Daphnia pulex: one gene and its partner. The main gene of each other region encodes a partner of the protein of the gene in region 2 in a complex. Links are inferred from orthologs where the notes say so. Each region holds a gene or a part of one and is shown on either strand. Other genes may lie near its edges. The genes, in order: THO complex subunit 3-like and THO complex subunit 2-like.

Region 1 (3,889 bases), on a different chromosome or scaffold from region 2:
ACCAATCGCAAAGCAGATAAATAACAGCTTTCCATGTTGGAATGACACGAGAAGCATTCCGAGTATTTCACGTTCTAGCTGCGGAGAACAATGAACATGAATCTACTCGAGCAAAACGATACATTCGTCTATGTGCCGCTTTGCTGCCTATATATGGGTGTGTGTGTTTAGTGTTTACCAACTACCGTTACGAAATATCAAACGACATTTTAGCCTTGTACATAATCAACGGCACGTATGATGTAACACAAACTATCAATCTATCTGTTTCTACGAAATATGCTTATTATCACGACAACTTAAATTAATTTGCCTTTAGTAATAGAATAAGGATAGGAATAAGTCTTACCTAGATGGACTGCTTGCATAAAAGCGTCGTATTTCTTTAAACGTTAACGCCCTGTTTTTTTCATTATTGACTAAAAATTTGTGCCGAACGGTCATCACCTTTTAACAAATATGGGATCTAGTAATAACGAAAATTATTATTGAGTAATTAATTATGTTTGAACGTTAAAAAAAAGGGAAAATGTGTCCTGGAACAATTCAGTTTTCTGGAAAAGATCTCTGATCTGAGATCCATTTTACTTGTATCTCTCTCAACACAGTTGAAGTTTGTAAGCTTGGCAAATAGTTCTTGACAAGAGTAAACAAGAAAATCTGCAAGTGAAAAAATAAAAAAAAAAAAGCTGGATTCTGTATAAAACACGAGACCTCCTAGTTTTGATTCGTATGGGCCCATCACTCGTTAGAGAGACCAAAGAGCTTCACAGTTCCGGCGTCTCTGTTTCCGTCGTCTTTATCGTCACAGGCGTAGGCCAGCAGGTGAGAGCGTGGATGCCAGGCGACTGTGAAGGTTGGCGTGTCAACTGGAATGCTGATAACGCGCTCGCCTGTACCTACGTGGCTGACGTCGATCAGCAAGTCCTCTGACCCGGACGCCAACATGGACCCATCGTGACTGAAACTCAATGTCCGAACTGGCCAATCCAACCTAAAGGGGAAACACCCAGTCAGTAATTGAATAACCTCAATAGAAAACGGCACGTTATTATTGGCATTAATGTTACTTGGAGAAAGTGCGCAAACAAGCAATTTCATCGGCATCCCACAGAGAGACTAGGGCGTCGGCCGACCCAGTGGCAAAGTACCGTCCAGTGGGGTCGAATTCGATGCAAATGCAGTTGGCGGGGTGAGCCTGTGTGACGTGAACGGTCGTAAGCTCTGGGTAACTAGATACAAGAGAATTGATAGCGTCATGCTAGATTGAAAGCAGGGGGAAGAAAATTCATCATTACTCTAATATGTGGATGCAGCCTTGCCCACTAGTCAAAAAGAAAAGATTGCTAGCCTTGTTCCATTCTATTTCGTTGACTTCAAACTTGAACGGATGTTCTATTTTAATCTTAAAATTCCTGGCATCAATAAAAGTAACAAGGTCTTCCTTATTTCCCACTGCAATGGAATTTCCATCAGGTGACCACGTGATGTTGATATTTTCTCCTGTCAAATCACATTAATGAAGGATTGAATGTTTAAGCATAATTTCGTAATTAATTGTACCCTTGGTGTTTACTGTGGCGACACTCTTTTTAACTCTTGCATCCCAAACTCTCATGGTTTTGTCTCCACTGGCGGTGCTGAGCAAATCAGGATTGGTTTCGTGCCAACATAGCTGATCGACACTGTCATTGTGTCCCACAAACGTTTGCTCCTTAACCTGAAACAGAATGCCTCAAGCTCCATTATAATTGCTGCATGATTGATAAGCCGGGACTAATACTAACCAGTCTGTCGCTTTCCATAGTAAAAATGCACACCGTCTTGTCAAAGGAACCCGACGCTAACCGTCTTCCATCGCAATTCCAATCAACCGTGTGAACCTTGGCCGAATGTGCAGAGACTTCCCTCGTTCGAGTGTGCGTTTTAAAATGATTTTTCAGCTCTTCCAATTCGGCGACTGCCATCTTCTTATAATTTCGGGAAAAAAAAGCGGTTTATATACCTTTACTCGCGTGTCAACAAAACACAGTGTGTGCAGACGAACTAACGCGAAGCCGGTCGTCCCGCCATTTCCAATGCCAAGTCTCTTCTTCATCCGCCAGATGGCAGTTGGAGCGCGAAATTTGAAATTCCTAACTCACTAATAAAAGAAAAAAGGGGTCGGGCAAGGAATGCGTGGTGGTAATGTCGTCTCCTCAATTGGCTCTGATTAGTCGGACGTTAAACGATACGTTTATCGACTGGCTGGCCCAAAATAACAAAAATAAAATAAAAAAGGCGTAGGGTGGGCGGATAGGTGGAAATGCTTTTGTTACCAAACACGGGACACACACCGTAATCAAGCGTGACTAGTACACACACACACACACACAATGAACTCAACAAGCGAAGGGCGTCCAGCCTCTATCAGACGAGATCTAGCTGCATGAATATTATACTCTCTCTCCCAAGTCCCAGCTACACATATAAACTATAGCTGTGGAGCTTGCGCCATTTTGAATGTTATTACACGTCCGATAAATATATATATATCTACACGGCAATAATATGCGCCAAAGCCAAAAGAACCGAGTCCAAATCAACTGGGATGGGCAGCAGCAGCAGCAGCTATGCCCGTTTCTTCAAAAACTACGACTATATAGATTTCAGTTTTCTTATATTTTGTTCTTTTTTTCTTTCTTTCACAGCGCGCAATCATCAAATGATCCGTGTTTGGGCATCGGGGTAATATAAAGCAACAAAAAGTCGTAGTCTCTCTCTGCCAGTGCATGCTGGACCCACAGCGCCGGCACACAGCACATAAGACATCTACAACAACTACAACCAGAACGGCTTCTATATAACGCTAACGACTAACGAGTTAGCATCGACTTTACAAGAATTTACAGCTGTATAGTCGATGGAAGAAGAGAGCGGGGGTAGTAAGGAGAAAAAAAAGGGAAATTTACGAGTCCCCCTCTTCTTCTTCTTCTAGGAGAGAAAAGAAAAAGAAGACGGCCATAAAATAAGCAAATTTCTTGCCCGTTAACTGACGATAAAAGCGACTGGGCGTCCAAGCGCGCCTTGTGGCCTGGCCTGGCCTGGGCTGCTGCTGATGCTCCTACTGGACCTCCTTTTTCTTTGGCTGCTCTCTCCATCATTACACACACCAAAAGAACTTCTTCTTCTTCTTCTTCTATTTTGATAGCCAATCGGTCCCGTGTGTGCGTAATAACATATCGCAGTCGTAAATCTGCGAACGTCTCGTTTCGTTTTGCCCAAAAAGATTCTTTTTCTCTCTCTTTCCCTGGACCTTTTGGCTGGTCACTGGACTCGTCTCGTTGGCCTATACCCAAAGAGTAGTAAAATAAAAATATATAAGAAATAAAGGAAAAAAAAGGGTTTTTTTTCCTTCTATTTTATTTAAAACTCTTCCTTCTCCCCTTCAAATGAAAACGTCTATAGGGTAATACGATTCCGATGATACGCTTTTTTGTTGCTGGTGTGCCTCGACACTTTATGGAGATTGGACCCGCTGGCCCGTTATATATATCCCGGTGATTTACAACGCGGATATATATATATATAAATACAGCAGGGCAGCTCTGCTGTGTGTGTTGTAACATTAAGTATATAATATATATAGGAGAGTTTCTATTACAATAGGCATTCCGCCCGACGATGATTGCGTTATTGTTGCCTGTTCCATATTGATGAACTATGCTAATTGCATTCCATTCTTCTTCTTTTTTAGACCTTTTTTTTCGAGATTCGCTGGATATTATTAGATGAATAAGAGTCTCTCCTATTCCGTGTAGCTATATAATATCATCGCCGTCGTTTCGTTCCGTTTGTATTGGCCAATTGGTCCCTTTATTTTTTCTTCTTCCTTTTTTTTGATTGGATT
Region 2 (4,585 bases):
GGTATGTAAAGTATACTTCCTGGTGATTTTGGTGATGATAGTTGGACGACGCTGGGTATCCGGTTGGTTTGGGAACTCCATAAGTGTGTGAGGGCTGTGCGGGTCTATTAGGTTGCGGACTATAAGAAGGTACTGGTGGTCTGGCAATCGGATAACCAATCGGTGCCTTTGGTTGGTTGTAGCCCTTGAAGTGTAGACCGGGAGGTGGGCGAGGCGTTGCAAAAGTAGGAAAATAGAGTCGAGGTTCAACCCGTGATGTGCCGTACGTGTTGGACCATCTTCTCTTTAATCGTATCTGGTTTGTTGGATCCAAGGTAGATGTTGAATTTGAATAATTCTGTTGCCCTTGGAAAATGATAAAAATTTGTTTTATTTTATTGCGTCAGCATCGTTTGTGGGTTTAAATTGGGAAAATTCATTCTTACTGCTCGATTGGTTTTCGGAATCGCTGTTTTTCGGATCGACAAAGGCAGCAGCTGATGTCGAAAATAAAATTGCGGCGACGATGAGAAGAGAATTAAGAGGAGACCACTTGGCGGTTCGACACCGCATCTTGAAATCAAACGGGTCACAGAAAATCACCTCCAGTTATAAAGGTTTGCTTGTTGACAGCCATGGCTTCTGGATGTTCGGTTAAATCACCGTTGTTGACACCTTCTTTGGCCTACATTTTTATATCAATTAAATAAAAAAGGAAAGAGGAATTTTGGAAATACTATACATGTAAGGCGTCAAAGATGTCATCAAGGATGTGACGTATTTGCCAGTCATTGCTCTTTGTTTAAAAAAATGGAATATGTGTGTTACATATTTTAAATGTTCTTTTTATTTTTGACGATTCTTATTGTTTGATTTAAGTCCATGTGAATTCGCCCTATCTTATCCTATTTTATGTCTTTTCTACCGTTTCCCCGTTGTAAATGGTGTCACGACACCGGCAACCCAACAGATTCACGCCCTTCCTGTAGATTTCGTCTCTTAGGAAAGCGTGAATCCGTACCTCTTGTACTTATGTACTTTTTCTTTAATGATTTCTATTCTTTCGAGTTATTTATCATAATTATTTGGATATCGATAAAATTTTTTAAATTGAAAAAAAGGCCAAAATTATTGTTAGTTTTGTCGGAGTTATTATAAAAATAAATCGTTGTTACTCTCCGCATTAAAGTCTGTCTTATAATTGAAGATGCCGTTTCTCATTTAGAAGAATTTCTAGAGAAGGACGGGGAGAAAGAGAAAGTCCCAGTATATACGTATACCCATCTGCACGCACAGCTATATAAGCCGAAACGGCAGGAACGAATTTGTACAAATAGTCCTACTCAACCGGAAGCCAATACGGATCTTTACTAAAACCAAGAAATATTTTTATCGCTCACGTGTTGCTCCGCTAGCAGTCACTACCTGCTGGGTCTGTCATCCTTTTACCTGCGACGCTACATCCATTTGGTCCACCTCCAGTTTATCATTGCTAGAAGTAACAGCTTGAAATGTTTGTTCCTAGATGGCGTTAGCAGCAGCCTCTTTTTCCTCTTCCCCCTATAAAACTAAAATCGAAATATCTTCTTTACTGTAACGTTTAAATAATAAGAATATTTTGTGTAATTCGATTCGCCTTTGAAAACTTCATTAAACCGTATGGCTTAAAAATTGTTCTGACAAATAACCCCCCGACAAGCTTACAGGAATAGGAAAAGATCCCGTCTTTAATTAGAGTACTCCGTGCTAAAGTGGTCGGTAGGCTACTCAGTAGACTCCAGCAAGGCTCTAAGCTTGAGTCCATGTTTATGTTGTCACATATGCCACCAAAGAGTCGCTTCCCCGTTTGTTTGGTATTTGTTCGTTGTCGTTTGAATTCGCTTCTGCAATTTTGAATGGCCTAAGGACTTCTAAAGACAGATACTGCGACGTGTGAAGTGGAAATCACCGAATTCGTCAGTTGTTGCTTAATCGAGGGACACAAATGGCGTCGTTAATTTCGCAAGAAGTATGGAAAACGTGGGAATCACATGGACACGTTGAATTGTAAGACTCAACAATTGTTTTATATCACTGACACTACATTCTTTGACTTCAACAATAGTAATAATATGACATAACTAATTTACTCTTTTTATCTGGTAATCTTTTAGTGTGAAACTGCTGGAAAGCTGGATTGGCACCGATAACAATAGTCAACATATTCCTTCAATTGGGAGTAAAGGTTTGTTGTTATTACATTACATTTCCAAGTATTTTATTTATCTTATGTTTTACTGTTTTTAGATTTGTTTCGTGCTATATATGAGTTCTTGTGGCAAGCCATCAAAGGTGGAATAAAAAGAGAACTAGTTTTATCAACCATTGGAGATATTCTGGTATAGATTTTGATCTTAACACTTTTTATTTGTGATTTTGTCAATTAAATATTTGTAAGTAGGTTTTGCATGGTGATCTAGCATCGTTGACACTAGATGTTCTCAATGTTATTGACCATGAAACGTTGGTTAATGAGAATAATGATGAACGTCAAAAGTTGTGCAGCATGCTAAAAGAACTGGAAAACTGGCTAAGTGATTCAATGATTAAGGAACGCTTAGAGATTGACACATTACAAGATTGCAGTTTACTGAAGACAAAGAAGATATTTTACTCCCGTTTCATCAAAGTAAAGACAAAATTATTTTACAAGCAGCAGAAGTTTAATCTTTTACGGGAGGAGAATGAAGGCTATGCAAAACTAATAACTGAACTCAATCAAGAGATTGATGACACCATCACTCCACTCTACATTTTACAAGTAAACATTTGATTAATATTATTCTCTGACCATGTACCAATATTCCCCTCACTTACACAGGTTGTACAGTCTTTAATTGGTTGCTTCAACTTGGATCCGAATCGGGTGTTAGATGTGATTATGGAATCATTTGAATGTCGGCCGCAGCTTCACAGTCGTCTTTTTGTTCCACTGATTCGCTCGTACATGTCAGATTCGTTGACTTTGTGTGAAGTCTTAGGGTTCAAGTTTACTTCATTCGACCCGTCTTCTACACCAAACTCTCTTTTCGTCATCACTGCTCTTTTATTGCAGCATGGAGTCATTCATCTTGAAGATATTTATCGTTGGCTTACGCCTAAAGATAGCGAAATCGACGAATCCGCCGCTAAAGAATTAGCAGACGCAAAAGAGTATGCTCGTCGAATGAATATCATCGCTGTTCCAAAAGAAGACGACAAAATTGAAGAATTGATTGAAGAAAGGGCACCTTATAATCAGAAATTTGGACTGTGTGAAGCTCTTCTTTCAGTGGGAGCTTGGGAACAAGCGTCTACTCTTCTTAAACGTCACCCAGAGTTTTTCGTCACATCTTATCGACCCATCTCGAGCAGTATCTGCAAACTGGTCGACTACGTAATTGAACCGGTGTATCGCACTCGATGCTGCATATCTCCAAAACTTTCGGGCAAACCAGTTTTATCTGTCGGTGTATGGAACTTCCCCAAGACAGCCAAGGAAATGAAGGAGTTGAGAGAAACTGCTTTCCCCATGCTACTCTCTTTGGGACCCCATTTGTATAACGATCCTGTCCTCCTGCACAAGTTAATCCGTTTGTGCAATACTGCGTTAGATGATTGTGGCTTGAACAGTTCAAAGAAATTTCCGCAAGACCTGGATTCGCTGTACTTTGACGTTCTTACACTGTTTGATGTTGTAATATTGCCATCACTCGCCCTCATGGAATCGAATTGCTGTGTAGCAGAAGAAATCTGGAATGTTTTGAAGAAATTGCCTTATGAGCACCGTTATCGTCTGTATGGCCTGTGGAAGAACGACACGTTTCAGAGCCATTCTTTGCTGATCCGCCGCAAAGTAGACTGCGTTAAACGCATCAAGTACATCATGAAGCGTGTGAGCAAGGATAACGTCAAGCCCACGGGTCGAGTGCTTGGCAAGCTTAGTCACAGCTGCCCTGGCTTTCTTTTTGACTACATTTTGTCCCAAATTCAAATCTACGACAACCTGATTGGCCCTGTTGTGGATTCACTCAAGTACCTCACAAACCTATCGTATGATGTTCTTGGTTATTGCGTTTTGGAAGCACTTTCGAACCCAGACAAGGAGCGCACCAACCATGATGGAACTACCATCTCTATGTGGCTGACGGCTCTTTCCGCCTTTTGTGGAGCCATTTACAAGAAATACAACATAGATTTGACTGGACTTCTCCAATACGTTGCCAATCAACTAAAGGCGCAAAAGAGCCTAGATCTTCTTATTCTTCAGGTACTTATATTGATTTAATATAATAAATATCTTTTAAAAACAACTTAATGTTTAACTATTGCACATTCAGGAAATGGTGCATAAAATGGGGGGCATCGAAGCGTCCGAGGAAATGACAAAGGAACACATGGAAGCAATGCAAGGCGGTGAACTGTTAAGAGCTGAAGCTGCTCATTTTGGACAGGTTCGGGTTACCAAGAAAGCTGCCCAGCGTTTAAAGGAAACATTGCTCGAATCCAATTTGGCCATTCCCCTCTGTCTTCTTATCGCACAGCAGCGCAATTGCGTTGTTTATCGAGAAACAGAGAATAATCATCT

Evidence for each region.
Region 1: the proteins of THO complex subunit 2-like (region 2) and THO complex subunit 3-like are in contact, whole or in part, in a cryo-EM structure (PDB 7ZNL), measured with the Homo sapiens proteins. The link is inferred for Daphnia pulex from reciprocal best matches to the Homo sapiens genes THOC2 and THOC3. Residues at the interface, in NP_001075019.1 of Homo sapiens: Tyr395, Arg396, Pro401, Lys402, Gly403, Ala404, Lys405, Gly406, Ser407, Pro446, Ile447, Ala450, Arg454, Cys500, Asn501, Ala502, Cys503, Met504, Glu506, Pro563, Arg566, Gln567, Lys570, His573, Tyr603, Leu604, Thr605; in NP_115737.1 of Homo sapiens: Asp193, Met196, Ile208, Val217, Gln218, Asn221, Ala222, Pro224, Ser225, Ala244, Asp245, Ala246, Leu247, Ser249, Trp251, Asp252, Asp254, Glu255, Leu256, Val257, Cys258, Val259, Cys261, Ser263, Leu265, Asp266, Pro268.

Annotation. Positions count from the first base shown.
Region 1 is NC_060028.1:7,657,395-7,661,283, forward strand, and holds THO complex subunit 3-like, read right to left. Parts: upstream 2,422-3,889; 5' UTR 1,968-2,421; coding exon 1,788-1,967; intron 1,721-1,787; coding exon 1,564-1,720; intron 1,504-1,563; coding exon 1,299-1,503; intron 1,233-1,298; coding exon 1,071-1,232; intron 995-1,070; coding exon 742-994; 3' UTR 546-741; downstream 1-545. UniProt on the Homo sapiens protein: Component of the THO subcomplex of the TREX complex which is thought to couple mRNA transcription, processing and nuclear export, and which specifically associates with spliced mRNA and not with unspliced pre-mRNA.
Region 2 is NC_060017.1:3,792,115-3,796,699, forward strand, and holds the start of THO complex subunit 2-like, read left to right. Parts: upstream 1-1,492; 5' UTR 1,493-1,963; coding exon 1,964-2,025; intron 2,026-2,132; coding exon 2,133-2,203; intron 2,204-2,265; coding exon 2,266-2,357; intron 2,358-2,419; coding exon 2,420-2,779; intron 2,780-2,839; coding exon 2,840-4,267; intron 4,268-4,337; coding exon 4,338-4,585. Other genes in the region: uncharacterized protein LOC124205981, read right to left, coding at 1-345, 426-552. UniProt on the Homo sapiens protein: Component of the THO subcomplex of the TREX complex which is thought to couple mRNA transcription, processing and nuclear export, and which specifically associates with spliced mRNA and not with unspliced pre-mRNA.